Macaca fascicularis: one gene and its partner. The protein of the gene in region 1 interacts with the protein of each later gene in a pairwise test. Links are inferred from orthologs where the notes say so. Each region holds a gene or a part of one and is shown on either strand. Other genes may lie near its edges.

Region 1 (9,713 bases):
CCTGTCCCGCGCATTGGCCAAGCGGCCGGGAGCACGGGCCCGGCGGCCGTGCACTTCCGGCCGGTGGCCGGCCCGGCGCGCACCGCCCCTTCCGCCACCGCCCAGCGAGCCGAGCCCCGGTCCCAGCCCCGGCCGTCCCGGCGTCGCTTCGGAGCGCGGCGGCAGCTGACTGCGCCTTCACGATCCGCTGGGACCCGCGAGCCCCGCCGCCGTTATGAACATCCGCAATGCGAGGGTGAGCGCCCGGGGCGGGAGGCTGTCCGCGCCGCGTGGGCGCCGGGCCCGGTGGCTGCTGCGCATGCTCCCGAGGGCCCTGGCCGAGCCCGGCCCGGTGGCCCTGCGTGTGCCTGCGGCCGCTGGACCTATGGGGCTGGCCCAGTCCGCCGAAGAGGCCGGGGCGCGGGGCCGGGGCTGCGATTCCCTCCTGTTTGCGTGATGTCGGGCCTGCGTTGGGTGGGCTCCGGGGACCTCCGGGCGCCCACTGCTGTTCCTGTGCTCTGGGCGTTGTGCAAAGTCAGATCGTCACAGCGCCTGCTCAGCCCCGAGGGAGGGGGGCCGAGCAGACCGACGGGGAGCAGACTTCTCACCCGTGGTCACCGGCGCCTTGGACTGAGCGCGTTCCACTGCCCTCCTTCCTTGCAGCCAGAGGACCTAATGAACATGCAGCACTGCAACCTCCTCTGCCTGCCCGAGAACTACCAGATGAAATACTACTTCTACCATGGCCTTTCCTGGCCCCAGGTGGGCAGCTTCTGAATTTGGGCGTGGGGGAAACCAGGCCGAGGAAAATCCAATCGGGCCATCTTGGAGGGAGTGGACAAGTCTGTCAGAGCCCAGGGGGCTGTATGGTTGGTGACGTCCCTAGTGTTTTCAGCTGGCAGGCAGGGGCAAAGGAAAAGAAGGCGCCTGAAGGGAGCAGAGAATAGGGGCATCGGGCAGGATCCCCACATTGCATCTTCTTTCTGGGCATGGGCAGGGCACAGTGTGGCGCGGGGGAGACCAAGTCACCCAGCCTGGAGGTCATGAGCCATCACACAACTGGCCACTCGTCCAGCTTGTGTCCCTCTAAAGGGCTCCTCCAGCTCCAACATGAAGTTTTCTCACTCCCTTTTCCTCTCTGTCACCAGCTCTCTTACATTGCTGAGGACGAGAATGGGAAGATTGTGGGGTATGTCCTGGCCAAAATGTGAGTCACCAAGGAGGAAGAGAGAAGCTACACGTGTCTGGTGGATGCCTCTGTGGGCTTTAAAAAAATGAATAGGCTCTTTCTTTTCAGTACAGTTGAAAGTTTATAGAAAAATTGAATAGAAAGGACATGGAGTTCCATAGAACCCCTCAGCATTCCCTCCCTGCCAGTTTCCTCTATTAGTAGCTTGTTGGATTTGTGTGGTCCGCTTGTGACAAGTGATAAACTAATGTGATATATTACTATTATTATTATTATTTTTTTTGAGACGGAGTCTTGCTCTGTTGCCCAGGCTGGAGTGCAGTGGCGTGATCTTGGCTCACTGCAAGCTCCACCTCCTGGGTTCAAGTGATTCTCCTGCCTCAGCCTTCCTAGTAGTTGGGATTACAGGCATGTGACACCACACCTGGTTAATTTTTTAATTTTTTTAGTAGAGATGGGGTTTCACTATGTTGGCCAGGCTGGTCTCGAACTCCTGACCTCAGGTGTTCCACCCACCTCAGCCTCCCAAAGTGCTAGGATCGCAGGCGTTAGCCACTGCACCCAGCCGATATATTAATATTAACTAAACCCCCCTGCACTTCTCTTTGTGTTGTAAGCCCCATGGTTTTGACCAAATGATATGTGTCCACCTTTGTATTATCACAGGATAGTTTCACTGTGTTCCACGCATTTATCCCTTCCTCTTAACCCCTGGCAACCACTGGTTTTTTACTGTCTGCATAGTTTTTGCCTTTTCCAGGATGTCATAGAGTTGGAATCATACTGTATACAGCCTTTTCAGGCTGGCTTTTGTTCACTTAGTAGTGCACATTTAAGCTTCTGCCTTGTCTTTGCATGGGTTGACAGCTCATTTCTTTTTTTATTTTTATTTTTTGAGATAGGGTCTTGCTCTGTTGCCCAGGCTGGAGTGTAGTGGCATGATCATGGCTCACTGCAGCCTCAACTTCCCAGGCTCAAGTGATCCTCTCACCTCTGCCTCCCAAGTAGCTGAGACCACAGGCATGCGCCACCACACCCAGCTAATTTTTTGATTTTTTTTTTTTTGTAGAGACAAAAAAAGTGTTGTCCAGGCTGGTCTCGAACTCCTGGGCTCAAGCAATCCTCTTGACCCGGCCTGCCGAGTAGCTGGAACTATAGGCGTGTGCCCCATACCTGGCAGGCATGGGGTTTTCAGGCAGTAGAGGGTGGCAGGATCAGCTGCTCTGATCCAAGAGGCTCCTGGCTCTCCCCGAGCTGGGGTCTTAGGGGGCTGTAGGGCCAGCCTAGAATTTGCATATCCACTTTACAGATGGCGGGGGGTGGGGGTGGCTGTGCCTACACTGAGCTCCTTTGCAGCCTCTGCTTTCTCCCTCTCCAGGGAAGAGGACCCAGATGATGTGCCCCATGGACATATCACTTCATTGGTATGTAAGGTTCACTCAGGCTCTCTGGTGGGGGTGGAAGTGGGGGTTAGTTGAGGCAGCCCTCAAGGTCCCAGTCCTTCACCCGCTCTCTGCTCTTCTCCTACCAGGCTGTGAAGCGTTCCCACCGGCGCCTCGGTCTGGCTCAGAAACTGATGGACCAGGCCTCTCGAGCCATGATAGAGAACTTCAATGCCAAATACGTCTCCCTGCATGTCAGGAAGAGGTGGAAGCCGGGCTGAGGGAAGGGGGATTGAGGGGGAGAGATATTGCCTTGACGGGGGTCCTGGGGTACCTCGGCTTTTGGTGAAGATCCAGGAAGTGGGATTGGGGTGAAGGAGGGACCAAGAGGAGGGGCAGGCACTGGACGTGCTACCCCTCCCTGGCCATGTCCGTGCAGCTCAGCAGTGCCTTGTTCCCCTGCAGTAACCGGGCCGCCCTGCACCTCTATTCCAACACCCTCAACTTTCAGTAAGTAGATCTCGAGTTTTCTCGTGGGCTGGGGTTGGCCCCAGGTCTGGCCCACCAGGGCACCTGAGACCGGCTGAGTTGCCTTCCAGGCTAGGGGTGGGCCGGATGTGGGGAGGACGCTGTGGACCCCAGTGCTGCCAGGATGCCTCCACATTCACTCGGTGGCTGATGGTTGAAAAGCCGGCATGGAGACAGCACCTGCCTGCTGAAACGTGCTCCGTGTGTGTTGTGATGGAGGAGCTCTGGCCCATGCTGGCAGAGGCTGGTGAAGGGCACACGGGCTGTTTAGTAATGTTTGGGAATAAAGAGGTGTGGGTCCCTGGCGTGAGCAGATCATAGCATGGCCAAGCACCTGGAAGAATCCAAGAGAGAGCAGAATCAAGGAGAATGCACGTTCAGGAAGGAAGGACCGGCGGCCAGGCAGCCTAGTGGATGGGGCAGGTCTGCCTGAGGACCGGGAGGCCCCGTGTGCCTAGCACAGGAGAGAGGACCTGGCAGTCAGCATGCCCAGTAGACAGTGGAAAAAAGTGCTTGCAAGTGAAGCTGGGGTGGGCTGCCCGTGGAGGGACACTAACTGCAGTCAGCCCCTGTTTGGTAGGGGTGAAGAGGAGGGACTGTTGGGAAGGGCAGTGGCCTCTGGGCTGGATGCTGGCAAGAGGGATCTGTGACCCAGATGAGGATGTCTGGTGGGAACTGCTTTATAGCTAAGTCAACAATCCTCATGTCTTAGGCCTGGCAGGGCCAGCCTAGGCCATTGAGTCCAGCTCCCCTTCCAGGGACATGGCCACCCGAGTCTGCACACATGCCTCCCCAGTGCAGGCATGGCCCCTGAGCTGCTCAGGCAGGGCCCGTGCTGCCTAGGGATGACTCCCCTAAACAGAGCTCACTGTCTTTCCTGGGTTCTGATGGCTGTTGAGAGGCAGCTCAGTAAGGGACAGGACGCAGGGCAGGGAGGGAAGGGGAAGGCTGAATTCAGGAATTCAGCTCACAAGAAACCACAGAAATGAATCCTTAGTAGCCAGGCTAAGGACACAGAACGGGGGCAGGACAGGGGTGGGGCGGGCCGCTGTTTCCTGGAGCCTTTGCTGGAGAGAACAGAGGGCAGGTCACACCGGACTTGCTGTCTCAGAAAGGAGCCCTTCAGGGAGAAAACACGGCATCTTGCTCCAGTAGCCATGATACCAGGAGTGGAGGAGGGTGTCCCCCAGGTATGGGTCTTCCTCCTTGCTCTCTACCCTCTGCCCCCAGGATCAGTGAAGTGGAGCCCAAATACTATGCAGATGGGGAGGACGCCTATGCCATGAAGCGAGACCTCACTCAGATGGCCGACGAGGTAAGAGCCTGCATGAAGCCAAGCCAGGCAAGCGGGGGTGGCATTGGGGAGCCCCGAGACAGTGGCTGGAGGTGCGACCAACTTTGAATGCCAGCCCTTGTGGCTATGTTGCCAGGAGTCACGACCTCAGTTTCCTAGGTTGGGCTTTAGAGGAGGCCATCTGCCTAGCAGCCTGGAGGGTGATGGGAGAGGCAGAGGGAGGAGGCTTTTAGAAGGGAAGTGGGGAGGCCTGGGGACCAGTGGGTGGCCTGCCTGCTCAGAGGTAGTTCTGAGTCAGGGTTCTGCCCCAGGCTCCTTGGGTGGCAGGGCTGGTCAAGGGGCAACGCTGTGTCGTGGGGGCCTCCGTGGTAGTCAGTGAGCCCAGGTAGCAGTGGACTGGGGCTCCAGCCAGGTGTCCCCACTCAGTCCCACGTGTCCTGCCTAGCCCTGCTGCCTCACTATGCCCCTCTCCTCAGCCAGCGACAGGGCCAGGCTCCCTTTGTCTGGAAACTTAGGCCCCATCTCTTTACCTCCTGCTTCTCCCTGGGTTCCTGGTGGCAGCTGAGGCGGCACCTGGAGCTGAAGGAGAAGGGCAGGCATGTGGTGCTGGGTGCCATCGAGAACAAGGTGGAGAGCAAAGGCAATTCACCTCCGAGCTCAGGAGAGGCCTGTCGCGAGGAGAAGGGCCTGGCTGCCGAGGATAGTGGTGGGGACAGCAAGGACCTCAGCGAGGTCAGCGAGACCACAGAGAGCACAGATGTCAAGGACAGCTCAGAGGCTTCCGACTCGGCCTCTTAGAGCCTGCCCCATCCCTTCCTCACCCCACGAGCTTTCACAATAAATTCGCTCCGTGGCACTGGGGAACTTCGTGTGTGTGCGTGTGCACATTTAGAGGGTGTGTTTCTCCAGGTCCTCTGGTGGGGAGGTGAGCCTCAGCCTTTTGACCCAGAGCATCCTGCCAGTCCGAATAGAAGGGAAGAGCTTTGGAGGTGGGACTCCCCAGTCTCATGGCCTTCAGCAGCTGTGGCCCCGGGAAGGAGGCCCTGGGCTTAGGGAGAGACCCTGCCTTGGAGGTCTGCTTGGCCACGCTGAATGTGTTTTGTGGCATAAGCCTGGGCCGCTTAGGCTCAAAGCTCAACAGCAGGGCTCCCACTCTTGGTATCCTTCAGTTCTCCTCCCATCTTCACCTTCAGACCTTTTCTCTCCCTAATCACACCTGCTTTGGGCTACAGCAGCTCTGCGGCATAGCCGTGGGCTCCAGATGTGGACATCTGACTGCTCATTGGGCTTATCTACAGCTGTCCTGAGTATAATGACCCAGCCAGACGCCCTGTCAACGGTCCTTGAGTCCTCCCTTCCCTGCCACCCTAATGGTCAGTGAGTCCATGATACCTCTTGAGTCTACTCCCTGAGTTTGCATTTGAAAATAATTTATTTTTAGTACAATTTCCCCCCGTTTGCCCTATTGACATTTTGTATTAGTTGGTGTATTTGTTATTGTTGATGAGCTAATACTGATAAGTTATTGTAAACTATAGCCCATGGTTTACATTAGGTTTCCTGTCTGTGTTGTACAGTTTCTATGGGGTTACACAAATACATAAAGCCATTTATTCCCTCAAAATAATTTCATGCAGAATACAAAACTGGGTGGCTGTTGGGTGCGGTGGCTCATGCCTGTAATCACAGCACTTTGGGAGGCCGAGGTGGGCGGATCACTTTAGCTCAGGAGTTGGAGACCAGCCTGGGCAGCATGGCGAAACCCCATCTCTACTAAAAATAGAAAACCGGGTGTGGTGGTGCACGCCTGTAATCCCAGCTACTCGGGAGGCTGAAGCAGGAGGATCCCTTGAGCCCGGGAGGTGGAGGTTGCTGTGAGCTCTGATCACGCCACCACACTCCAGGGACAGAGACCCGTCTCTAAATAAATAAATAAATACATACACACACATCAAAATCCTGTTTTTCATGGAGTCACCCTAACCGTAACGCTCTCTCCTGTGTCTCCTCCCTTCCCTTCCCTCCGGCTGCAAAGCCATCGCTTGCTGTTCCTAGTCCCTGGGCGGGCCCTGTATTCCTGAGCCCTCTGTGTACCCTGCTACTGCAGGTGGCACTGCTCCTCCGCCAGGTTGAAAATTCGCCAAACAGACCTGGAGCTCGGTTCTCTTTGGCTGGCGCCTGGCACGTGACCAGCAGGCAGCCAGCTGCTGTGGAAGCGGAGCCCGGAGACCGGCAGGGCGGGGCCGGGGCCGGAAAGGCGCGTCTGCGCACGCCCGCAGCTCTCCGGTTCGCGGCTCGGGCGAGGCTGTGTTCTGATTGGCTTAAGACGTGGGCTTCCCTTTGTATGGGCCGGAGGCGGAGCTCTGGCCCGCCCCGCGCCTGGCGTCAGTGTCTTCCGGTTCGCAAGCCCGCGGCAAGCTTCGTTCCCAGGCTCTGATTGGTCCGGCGGCTCTGGGTTCTGCGCGTGGGGTGCGGGGGAAGGGCGGGCTTGCGCACTGCCTCGGCCGCGCCCCGGCGCCGGTGGAAGGGAGCTGGCCCAAGCTCCCACGGCGTCCGCGGCGCCCTCCTTCCGCCCCTGCCCGGCCCTCTGGACCCGGCCCGCCCTCTGCCATCCGTCCCTGGCGGGCCCGATGCCTGTCGGCCGCTCCCTCCGTCCCCAGGCGGACAGGTCCCCGCCTTCTGCGGGCTGCCTGGCTTTTGAATGCTTTGAAGGGGAACAATGGAGCGAAGGATAGAGCGAGCAGCAGGGGGCAGTTGCGTTCAGGGCCTTAAATGCCAAACAAGTGCCCTAAAAGCCTGGGCCAAACACTCAGGCTCTAAAGCACGGGCTGAATGGGGCATCCTAGGAATAGCTCTGGAGTGAAAAAAAGAGCGAAGAGAGCGTTTGAAGGCACGGACTGAGGCCTTTCCTGCCTGCCTGAGCCCTGTATCTGGCTCTGCTGGGTGGAGGGATCTTTGGGGACCAGTCGGGGCTCGGATGGAGGGGCAGGGTGTGTGGGGGCCAGCTAGTGAGGGGCGGGGGTCCCTGCTTCCCCTTGGCCTGAGGCAGAGGTGGGACGTGGGAGTCTCCCAACCAGGAGCAGGTTAGGGTGTGGGTGCGGCTGTAGGCAGGGGCGCAGGCTCTCTAGTCTCTCTGGAGAACTCGAACATCGGTACTTCCGAGGGCAGCTGCTGGAAGTCCAGGTCCTGGGCCTGCCTGGGTCTGGCTAGCTCCCAGGCCTTGAAGCACCAGGTCCTGCAGACACACTCGACGACGTGTTCGGGAAGGGCCTTGGTACTGGGAGAAGGGGGAGGGGAGGTGAGGGAGTGTTTTTTCCCTTCTGGGCAAGAGAATTAATTGCTCCTAGTTGAAAGGCAGGAAGTACCCGCACAGCCTCTCGTCCCCAGATCTGCAGGTCAGGGTCATATGTGCCCACATTTGCACAGAGCCTTACTCTGACATGCGTGCAAACACACGCCTAGTACCCCTGCACTAGTGCCCGCAGGCCCGCCTTCGGAACAGACGCCTGGTGCCCAAGTGCCTTGCCCCTCTCCCCACATCTATACCCCAGGGATTTCCCTCCCACCAAATTGAAGTAAGTTGTCTGCTTGACTTGTCAACCGCCTTCTGCCTCCTGCCTTCCCGATTTCCCGGAGAAAAGCTGCTGCCCTGTGGTAGAGAGTGGAGGAAAGCCCCACCACCCGTGGATGAGGGAGGCCCCAAGACTTGCCCCCAGGGTAGCTAAGATCTTACTCCGAGGGGGCTGCCCCCCTCAGGCCTATGACGGGCAGGTGCAGCTGCAGGGGAAGGGAGGCAGAGCAGTCTCTTCCGGCAGCAGGAAGTGGTAACCGCCTATGGGGAAATCGTGGGGCTGAGCAGAAGGGGAACCGGAGCTGAACTCTCCTCCCCTACCAAGGGGGCCTGGAGGGAATGGCAGCCAGCTGCTGAGGTTCTGCTCTCTGGTGCTGACCTTCCTTCCCCCTCCCCTCTGAACTTCCCACCCCAGCTCTCAAGGCTCCTTGGACCTCTCTGGGGGCTGACTTGGGAAGGGAGGACCCCATCCGATGTCTGGGGGAAGCAGGCCACCCAGGGGGAGTCCAGAGACTGGGGCAGCAATGGTGTTCATGTCCACTGGTACTGTGGGCCAGCGGCCCCGCTGTGAACTGTGCAGTCTGGCAGTGGTGACCAGGGACAGCCTTCTGGAGGTGGGGGGATGGCAGCCTGGGATGCCAGCTTATGTTGGGGCTCTCATGCCCGCTCCGGCTGCTTGGCAGCGGGGCTTTGGGCACAAGGCAGTCTAGGTGCAGGCCCAGTGGGAGGAGACGGCAAGACCGGGGCACAGTGGGGCTGGAAGGGGCGCCCTGCCCCCAGGAGCCCCTCGCGGGCAGTGCCAGCCCTGGGCCGCCCCGCCCCACCGGGAGCCGCGCTGGGGGCGGGGCTGGGCGGAGCCCGCGCAGGGTGCTGGCCGCAGCGCCCCCAAGTCCCGGCGCCGGGCCCACTCACGGCCGCGTGGGAGCAGTGGGGTTCGACGGCGCGGCCGCTAGGCCGCCATGGCCGCTCACGGGAAGCTGCGGCGGGAGCGGGGGCTGCAGGCTGAGTATGAGACGCAAGTCAAAGGTGAGAGGGCGCCGGGCGCTCCCGGCCCGTTTCCTGCGGAGACCCCAAGGTCGTGAGGGAGCCCCAAGCGTCCCCGCGCTGACCCAGGGCCCGATGCTCTCCCCAGCGACCTCTGGAGTGGGGGTGGAGGAGGGAGCCTGAGCCTCTTGCCTGCCTCCCCACGCCCATTTGGCCTCAACCGCCTGCCATCTTCCCTTCCTTCTTTCCTGTCTTCCTTCTTTTGGTCTTTGTCCTCCTTGGGTCTCTGCTCCTCACCCAAGGTTCAGTGTAGACACTGGTGGCCGCCGGTAAAGGGGAGCCGGATGTACCAACGTGCCCCCCAGAAGGCGGTAGTTTAGCTACAGTGAAGTCAACCACCTTGATTGGGCTAGGGGGTGGGGGGTGGGGGGTGAGTAAGGGAGTCTGGGTAAGTGGATTGGTGGAGATCACCTGGCCCTAACCCCAGTGTAGTCCCTGGAGCCTCAGCACCTTTTGCCCCCCTTTAGCACTGAGGGGGATCAGAGGCAAGGGCCACTGTCTCTGGGTCAAGCTGGCGCAGTGAGTCTTGGTTGAGAGATTTAACAGGGCTGGCTTCTCAGCCTTCTGAAATTGAACCTCTTTGGGTTCTGATAAACACCCATGTGCAAATCACATGCAAATCAGCTTTGCAAATTCTTAGCCAATAGCTTGTGCCCATCTTATTCAGGGCATGGTAACTCTTGCAAAGGAAAGAGGCAGCATCTCAGTGCCAGCAGCTCCTCCATA
Region 2 (9,265 bases), on another chromosome or scaffold:
AATCATACTTAAGCTGAAATTACCCTGATGATCAATTAACAATCTACTTAGAAAGGTAAACATACTAAATACTGATTTTGATTCTATAATCAATATATTGAAGAAATTCATAAAAAGAATGAAGTATTCTAAGAAATTATGAAGAAGTAATTTCATATGGTTTTATAATATCCTGGAAAGTTTCTTCCTATAACAGCTCATGTTAAATTCTTTCACTTGACAATTCCAAAAGCATTCCAGCCTTCAATATTACCTGATGGATCACAAAGACTGGTTTGTTAAGAAAAATCACTGTTGCCTATTTACAAATATGTAGTCATAAATGATTTTGTCTTGGGAAGAATAGAATTCCTAAAGACAGACTCAGACCAAAAAGATGAAATTCAGCATGGTAGTTATAAGTAAATTTTGAATGTGTGTGTGTGTGTACACACACAACTATACATATATATTAAAAACTTAATGTTACATATAACAATATTATATAAGTACATACAACTCAATGTTATGTATATACATATACACATATATACACAATTATAAGCAGTCAATATTAGGCAACTTTGTGATAATATCTTCTTAAAAATTTTGTTTAAGATTAATACAGTTTTAACCTACAATAGTATAAAGTCAGATATAGGATTTTTATTCTGTACTGGTTTCAGACCACATCATAAGTATCATGTTAATTTTAGCTTCTTCATTTGAAGACAAACACTAGAAAATGGAAGTGGTTTTAGAGAGCAAGTGAGATGGTAAAGATTGAAGACCATGTAATGAGGCTTGAGTAAACCAGGGCTGTGGAACAGTCATATCAAAGAGGAATTGGACTCCTTGTGTGGTTTCAGAGGGTAATTCTAAGACTAATTGAACTGGATTTTAGAGCTGTGTAATAAAGAACTTTCCAACAGTTTTACATATCCATAAATGGAATGAACTGCCTTGACAAAGTAGTGAGCACTTCTTTCTGGAGATGTTCAGACAAGAGCTGGATAGACCCTGTCAAGGATGTTGTGAATAAAAGTGTAGCCAAGATTATTTCCTAAAATGTTCCCAAGTCAGACTTCCATGAGCCTATGAAACAATAATTTGGCCTGCATTTATTCTTTTTTGTAGCCATTTACTAATAAATTCATTACTTGCTCTACATTGATATTGCTGACCTAGGAATTTAAAAGAAGAAAAAGACTTGTGTTGCTTTTATCTCATTTTAATAAAATAATGATACTTTTCACTTATGCAGCACTTTTCATCCAAGGATTTCAAAGTGCTTTACAAATACGCACTAATTAAGCCTCACAAACAGCCAGAGGTAGGTGATTTTCTTCTCTTTCTACAGGAATGTCAACTCTGGCCCAGAAATTTAATAAGAGCCTGTGAGTGCCTGGGATTCCTTACTGGCTGCCATTCCCTTGTTATGTGCTGCATGTGAAGCATCACTTGTCATTTCCAGATTTCTTTTTTCCTGCTCTAAGTCATCTCAAGTTTAGAATTCTAATGATTGCTATTACAAATGTGTTTGAAGTCTTGTAAATATTAGTGAAAACTCAGTCTTCTGCTTGCTGAATGCTAATTAGATTTCTAAATTTATTTTAAAAAACACACTCTAGATGTGGTTTTCTATTTGTTGTTGAGTTTTAAATATAATTTTTGTCTTTTAAAGAACTTGTCATTTTTCTTCCTAGGTACCCAGAAATAATTGTTATTGGGAAATAAAACTTAATGGCAGATTGACTTTTTGCCCTTATCATTCCTAGTTATCTTTTCGCAATAAACAATAACTATTTTCTTTGGACCAGAATTATGTATTTTCAGGAAGAGACACTGTATTTTGGTGATTCAAAGGTCCAAAATATGTTATCTGAACATTAAGGATAAAGGTGAAATGACACTAAATAACCAATCCTGTAAAGAAAAAGTACTATAATAGTGGCATATACTAATCTAGAGGGATACACCACTTTTTATGTGGGTTAGGAGTAGCAAGAAGAAACTATGTACATACAGAGACACGCACCCTACAAGATTGGATTAAATTCCAGTATACTTATAAATAGCCACGTATTCAAACTGGTATCTGAAGCAAAATGGTCACACAAGGCAAGAGCAGATGTGGCATATCACAGCTTACTTTTCCTTGCTTCTCAGGGCCCCTAGTGAGGGCATACAAATTCCTGTGATACACACTATTGAAGTCAAGTCTTTCCAGATCAGGAAAGCACAATTTTTGCTGCAACATTGCCTTTCTATATTCATAGTTTCTATCTCCTTCAAGAATTTACATGAAGAATCTATCTGCTTCTGTTTAAAGGAAAACTCTCCTGGTTTTGAACTAAACTCAGCATTAGCAAGGCTATATCCTTTTCCCAAGGAAAAAAGTAAAGTGTCTACATATTCCAAAAGAATATCTCCAGGTTTTAGCATCCTGGAAAGCCTAATTTCCCCCACTATATTAGAAAGAATCAAATGAGAGGGATTAAAGAAACAAACTATTTGTTTCACAGTGAATTTAATTAAAAATGTATTAATTCTGTAGATATAGTTGATTTTTCATAATACAAAAGGACCTAGGACCTATGTCAATGTATTCTCTAAACTGATCATAAATGTTTTAAATATTTTTTTCTTTAAACAGCAAGTTCATCTGTGATACATAATGAAGAATTCCAGAAAAGATCATTTTAGAGTTTGGTTTCAAATTTTATTCCTTTTTCCCCAAATGATATTTGTATATAGAAATTCAGAAAATTAAATGATGTCCTCTACACTGTAATACCCACAGGTGTCTCTGGGTGAACTGTTGACTGCATAAATAGATCTTTACCATAGTAACCTAAAGACCATGCTGTTCAAGACCAGAGATTTATAGGTTCAGAAACTCAGACTCATCAGTGCTCAAGGGTCATTCTTTCACTGACTTGGGACTTCTGATTCTTATCAACAATGTGCATGACATATTTTAAAAAGAATAAAAAATCCATTTGTTAATGTACAATGGAAGTTATAACCATCAGGTAGATTAGGTAATATCTAAGTTTATTATTTACCCTATTGGCAAATTACATGGGAAAACAATGATCAATAGTTTGCCTATTAGTCATAGAAATAAAAAAAAGGGGGAGAATTTTGCAACTTGAATGTAGAATGGCCTCAGACTCTGAGAATGTTAAATTCCCTTCCTGACTGAGGACCAAACTGCAAAAAAGGCCAGATATTCCTTATGGTGTTATAGCTTACCAGATCACCACACAATTGCTTAGGTGGCTACAACCAGCATTGTAGCCGAGAAGCTCCTTGTTTTGTGCCAACGACTGGCAAACTCCCTTCTGAGGACCATCTTCTTTTAGATAAAATTACAGTGATATTGCTAACAAGTCATCTGTGAGATACTCTGTTTTGAAGGTGCCTTTTCATATTTCCTCACTGTCCCATATATGCCTCTTGTTTTCAAATTACTGAAATAGATCTTGCCATAGCCCCCAGATTGAGAAACGAACATAAGATTAACTTGTGTTTAACCTAAGTTTACTGCTATTTGGCCTCAGAGGAGTTGCTAAAAACGATAAGGACTGGTTAAAGACAGGTAATAAGCAGAAAGATGAAGAAGGAACAAGTTGAAATCCAAGCTATGTAATCAACAGTTGTATAATGGAGAGTTCTTTAGATAGATAATTACTTGTTAGCCTTAGTGCTTGCAGAGAAAGGTTTTCAATAACTTTTACTCTAATTTTAAGCTGATACCAGTGCCTCTTAGTTCACTGACTCCATTAATTTCTGAAACATCTGTTAAGCTACCTCTTGATTCCCTCATCACAAAATTTAGTCTCTCTTCCCATGAGACCAAAGTAAGAAAAGGTGCTTATATTTTTACCATTTCAAAATAAAATGTAGACTTAAAAATTTCAACCAACTTTGAGAAACTATAGACAAAGTTTTGATGTAGGAGGAGCCCAAAACAATAAATTGTGTCCAGGACTGCTCAGTACAAATGCTAACCTGAAACTTGTATTTCAGAACTTCCATTCTCCTAAAGGGTAGAGTCACTGGACCAGTATGTGTTATATGTATTTTGGCTCTTTACATTTACTCTTTAGTTCCATCTTAATACACACCAGCATGCGTGCACACGCACACATGCACATACACACATTTATTTAAAACCTTCACATTTTAATAGTTACTTCTAAAGTGTGTCAACTTAATCTCACTCTGAGTGTGACAGAGAGTTAGTGCCTGTGTGAATATATTTTTTCATCAGATTCAGCTTTTGCTATTGAGGGAAAATTATCTTTCCATCTCCTCATGTAGTGCAAACTTAAATCATTTAAATATGTTTTATTTTTCCAAAACTTACATTTCTGCATTACAAATGGTTTCTATTGATTGGAAGTCAAGCTCACTAGCATTCACTGCATGAGCTATGCATGAGCATGTTAAGGCCACCATATTCTGCCTGGTAACATTAATACTTTGTCATTTTCCTAAGTGTCGGATAATTCCCTGACCTTTAAAAAGGACTTTGGAGAACAGATTTTCCTCTAAATAATGTATTAATAGATCAACAAGTAATTTTTTTAATAATCATGAAGTTTAACATACTTGAAGCTATCTTTACAGCTCTGAAGGTTATCTTTGGGTTTCTGTTTTTTCCATAGAATAAGTTGAACCAGAATTTGTAATTGCCTTGCTGTCACTCAAAAGAAATAGATACTTTTTGTAATTGTTTGCATTGAGGAATCAGAGGAAGGATTTGCAGATCAAATCTGACTAATTTTCACATTTTGTCAAATTCCTTATCTTGTTCTTTTAATCATAGGCTTATGGTATGATTTGGCCCTGCATGAGAGTTCACTGATACAACTCAAACACATGTTTTTACTAAAAGTGGAATTAGTCCCATATCGTCATATGAAAAGACATTATAAACAGCAAAACTCACTTTACTACAGTTTTATTTTTATCATTCCCTAGCAATATATTACTGATCATTGCTAGCATGTAAAATCTTTTCATATTTTTGCTTAAGAGCCATATATAAGTAATTCATTAAATAAAACTTTTCTAACTTGATTCTTCCACTTTGTTTAGAATAGTACCTACTGACAGAGGTTTCTCATACTTTTAACACACATTGTTAGAAGTATTTTATTATATACACTTTTAATGGCTCTATTAACCTTAAGAAAAAAAAGTTAGTGATATCCACAATAAATCACTATCCCTGCTAGGAGGAGAATGTTGGTGGTATAAAAATCTAGGCCTCTTAATCTGCATTGTGGATGTGTGATGAAAAACGTAGCTTATCTTTCCTTTTTCTCTTTTTTAGCCTTGGAATGGATGGCTTTGGCCAACCAGTTGGCATTCTTGGACGCCCTGCCACAGCATATGGATTCCGCCCTGATGAACCTTACTACTATGGCTATGGATCTTGATAAAGTATCTGTTTCCATGCGTTACCTCAGCTTAGAAGAAATCTGTGTGGGTTGGGTGAATTTTGGATCTTTGCCTAATAATGCATGTTGATGTTATTGTGGGTCTGTGTTTATTTTTATTTTTATATGTTGTTAGCTGCAGATTAACCCCAGCCCCTTCTGTCTTCTGTTAAGTACAGTCGATACTGACATTGTTCACTCATCAAACCACATCTTGATACTGAGTAACATTTCCCATGAGCCTCAAAACTGAATGCTGAAAAGCTACTAGACTGGAAAAGAAACACTGCATTATGTACGTTAAGTGACTAATTTAATTTCAATTAAAAAGTATAAAGTGAAAATGAATAAGTGAAAGTCATGTGTTTATATTTCACACGTTTCATTACGAATTACATGTTAACATAGGGTGCACATGAGTTTTATTTTTTGTCCTTTTTTTCTGCTTGTAAAGTCTTGAGTAATTCATATAATATATGCTACCTTTATAATTTATAAAAAGAACATCACCTTCATATTCCATGCCATGTGCCTGAAAGTTTCCTTCCCAAAGTTTATTAACTATGAGTTTTCAATTAATAATGGAACATATGCCATAAGTTATTTATGGTTATAGTCTCTTCAGAGGTTTTAATTCATGTCTTCCTGGTTGTAATATAGAAATCCTAGGACAACTAGTATACAAGACAAGCGGTGATACAAGATTAGCATTTGGCTTTTAACTTTTATTCTTCATAAATTTAGTATCTAAACCATGGGAAAGCTAATTAAAAGTCTCATTATGGAAAACTAAGGAACAGAATATTTCACTCACTTTGGTACCCAGTTCCCAATTATTCACTTGTTTTTATAACATAGCTTTAGATAGCAAGAAATGGATGGACATTATATAATAATGAGTTTTAAAAGTAATTCAGTGTTTTCATATTGAGAAAAATGTTCAATTCTACTTGAAAAACTAAGCAAACAAATAACCATAATAATAACTATAATCAGAGATAGTTCCATGATCACCTGCTATGGAAGGAAATATGAAGCTTCAAAGGGAATACATAGATCAAAGATAAGACTTCTATTCTTGAATTTAAAATCTCGTTGATCTAAGTACACTATTTATTTGGCTTAAATTACATTTTAAGCAGAGGATAACATTTGGAAAAGGCCTTTGAAATAACTCAGTCTGCCTACTTATTTAAGAAACCAATCACATAAAGAATTTAAATGTAATCAACAGATATTTTCCTGACTACCTGCTATGTGTAAGGAAGTATATAATGCACCTTAGGGGATGCTTATGTTTATGTTTATGCCTTTGATCTTTCTGAAAACATACATTTATTTGTCTTAGTTTCTATTTTAACCATAAAATATTAAAGCTGGAAAAGGCCTTAGAAGCAACCCTGTCCAACTCTTTTTGCAGTCAAAAAAACTGTGGCCAGGAGAGGTTAAGTGACTTAGTCAATGACATAGCCTGTCTCTTTGCTTCCTATTCAGCAATCTCAATACTAAATACCTTGTTTTATTATTTTCATGCATACAAAGTATAAATACACATAAGTGACATTAATAGGAAAATGATGCAAACATCCTATAGCTTTAACTTCCCTCATGTTGTTATAAACTGCTTTAGGAAGAACACCCCCCAAAATTGATAACATTCCCAGGGCTATGCTCACTGAATTTTACATGCACATACTCACTCTCCCTAATTTTTTTTCATTAGTTTAGGACTTAACAAATTTAAAAATTGTTTCCACTCAGGTATGAACTGGTTTACCATTGCATTATTTATGAAGGAGTGTTTTTCTAAAGAGATTAATAAGGAAGATTATCTAAAAAAAGATTTGTTTTAAAACAGGGTCTTGCTCTGTCACCCAGGCTGGAGTGCAGTGGCACAGTCACCTTTCACTGCCGCCTCAGCCTCCCAGGCTCAAGTGATCCTCCCACCTTAGCCTCCCAAGTAGCTGAGACTACAAGCATGTGCCACTGCACTGGGCTAATTTTTTGTTTACTTTTTGTAGAGACGAGGTCTCACTATGTTGCCCAGGCTGGTCTCGAACTCCTAAGCTCAAGTAATCCACCTGCCTCAGCCTCCAAAGTGCTGGGATTACAAGCATGAGCCACCATGCCCAGCCTAATATTTTTACATACTTCAGAGAACAAAAGGTTTTGGCCTTGGGCACTTTTAGAAATACATTTTATGTAGTAAGACGAATATCCTGTCCTCACCACATTTTGACTACAAATTTAGGTCAGATTTATTTTAATAACTAAATTGTCATGGCTTCAAGCCCTGATTTATAGCTGAAAATTATTTCTTCTCCAGAGTTCTTTGCTCTTTCTGAGAGTTCATTAAGGTGCTTACTCACATAGGCCCAGGAATAGGTTTCTCATATTATGGTTCCTCCTCTTCCCCCTACACGGCTTTCTCTGTGTTCATGATCCTCATGAGATCACAGCTGCCCTCCACATGGGAGAACCACTGCTCCCTCCACTTAGGACCTGGGAAGATGACACTGCTCTCCCCTTTCTTATTCCCTTCCATGTGTGTGACACACCTGTTGCTTAAATCTGCACAGCACAACAGAAACTAAAGCTATATGTTTCATCATGACTTTACAGAGATATAAGTAATAAGGGAAGAGAGATATCATGCAAAATAACTTGCTATTATTACAAGAGCCAACAGTCACAAGGCTCTCACCTGGCCTGCATGGCAGGGCTAACTTGCCCTGTGCCACCAGAAATACTCAGGAATCTTTAGAATTCTAAGATGAGGCCAAACTCTCAGAAGGTCCCACAGAAAAGAGTGTTTTTTCTTCAAACCAACTGAAGACCTACTTTCAGAATCTGTTTCTTCTTCCAAGCTTAATTGTTATTAGCTACCTGATCTTCAGGATTTTACAGATCCTGTATATTTTAAGTCACAAAACAACAAGAGAGAAATAGAAACTGTCTGCCTACTTTTTCCCCAAGTGGTAGCTGGAGGTTTGTTTTTCTTTTTTTTTTTTTCTCCAGCCCCCTTTCTTTTGGGACAGAGTCTCTGTCTGTTGCCATGGCTAGAGTGCAGTGGCACTATCTCGGCTCACTGCAACCTCCACCTCACCTCCTGGGTCCAAGCGATTCTCATGCCTCAGCCTCCCGAGTAGCTGGGATTACAGGCACCTGCCACAATGCCTGACTAATTTTTGTATTTTTAGTAAAGATGGGGTTTCACCATGTTGGCCAGGCTGGTCTCAAACACCTGACCTCAAGTGATCCACCCACCTCGGCCTCCCAAAGTGCTGGGATAACAGGTGTGAGCCACCGCGCCCAGCCTGTTTTTCTTCTTTAACCTAGTCAACTGACCTAGTTATCGGCAAGTCTTCCCAAATTCTATCATTGAGGATACATTGAGGTTTTTAGTGAGGTGAATTACTGTGTTCTTCTATGTCTTTGTTGCTAGTTTAGTGGAAAATTTGAAAATACTGTTTTCTCCTAAAATATCTAAAATCCCACATAGACATGTGTAGTAGTTAGGTTTCTCCCGAGAGACAGAACCAACAGGAGGGAGGGAAAGAGGAAGCAAGGGAGGGAGAGAGAGAAATTAGGAGAGAGAGAGAGGATTTATTAGGGCAATTGGCTTACATGATTGTAGAGCTTAGAAGTCCCATGACAGGTCGTTTATAAGCAAGAGAACCAGGGATGCCAGTAGTGTGGCTGTCCAGGTCGGAAAGCCTCAGAACCAAGGAAGCCAATGGTGTAACTTATTAGTCCAAGGCTGGAAGTCTGAGGACCTGGGACTGCTGGTGCAAGTCCTAGAGTCTGAAGGTCAGAGAACCTGGAGTTCTGAT

Evidence for each region.
Region 2: the proteins of NAA10 (region 1) and KIFAP3 interact in binary tests that used the Homo sapiens proteins (3 or more experiments, as listed by UniProt). The two-hybrid records come from large-scale screens. The link is inferred for Macaca fascicularis from reciprocal best matches to the Homo sapiens genes NAA10 and KIFAP3.

What each region holds. Positions count from the first base shown.
Region 1 is NC_088395.1:159,991,650-160,001,362, reverse strand, and holds NAA10 (N-alpha-acetyltransferase 10), read left to right. Parts: upstream 1-99; 5' UTR 100-214; coding exon 215-235; intron 236-642; coding exon 643-741; intron 742-1,127; coding exon 1,128-1,186; intron 1,187-2,546; coding exon 2,547-2,592; intron 2,593-2,699; coding exon 2,700-2,815; intron 2,816-3,015; coding exon 3,016-3,060; intron 3,061-4,308; coding exon 4,309-4,393; intron 4,394-4,933; coding exon 4,934-5,170; 3' UTR 5,171-5,236; downstream 5,237-9,713. Other genes in the region: ARHGAP4 (rho GTPase-activating protein 4), read left to right, coding at 8,903-8,969. UniProt on the Homo sapiens protein: Catalytic subunit of N-terminal acetyltransferase complexes which display alpha (N-terminal) acetyltransferase activity. Acetylates amino termini that are devoid of initiator methionine.
Region 2 is NC_088375.1:27,555,350-27,564,614, reverse strand, and holds the end of KIFAP3 (kinesin-associated protein 3), read left to right. Parts: intron 1-1,243; coding exon of another isoform or gene 1,244-1,289; exon of another isoform or gene 1,290-1,312; intron 1,313-1,339; coding exon of another isoform or gene 1,340-1,367; exon of another isoform or gene 1,368-2,748; intron 2,749-5,326; coding exon 5,327-5,432; 3' UTR 5,433-5,780; downstream 5,781-9,265. UniProt on the Homo sapiens protein: Involved in tethering the chromosomes to the spindle pole and in chromosome movement. Binds to the tail domain of the KIF3A/KIF3B heterodimer to form a heterotrimeric KIF3 complex and may regulate the membrane binding of this complex.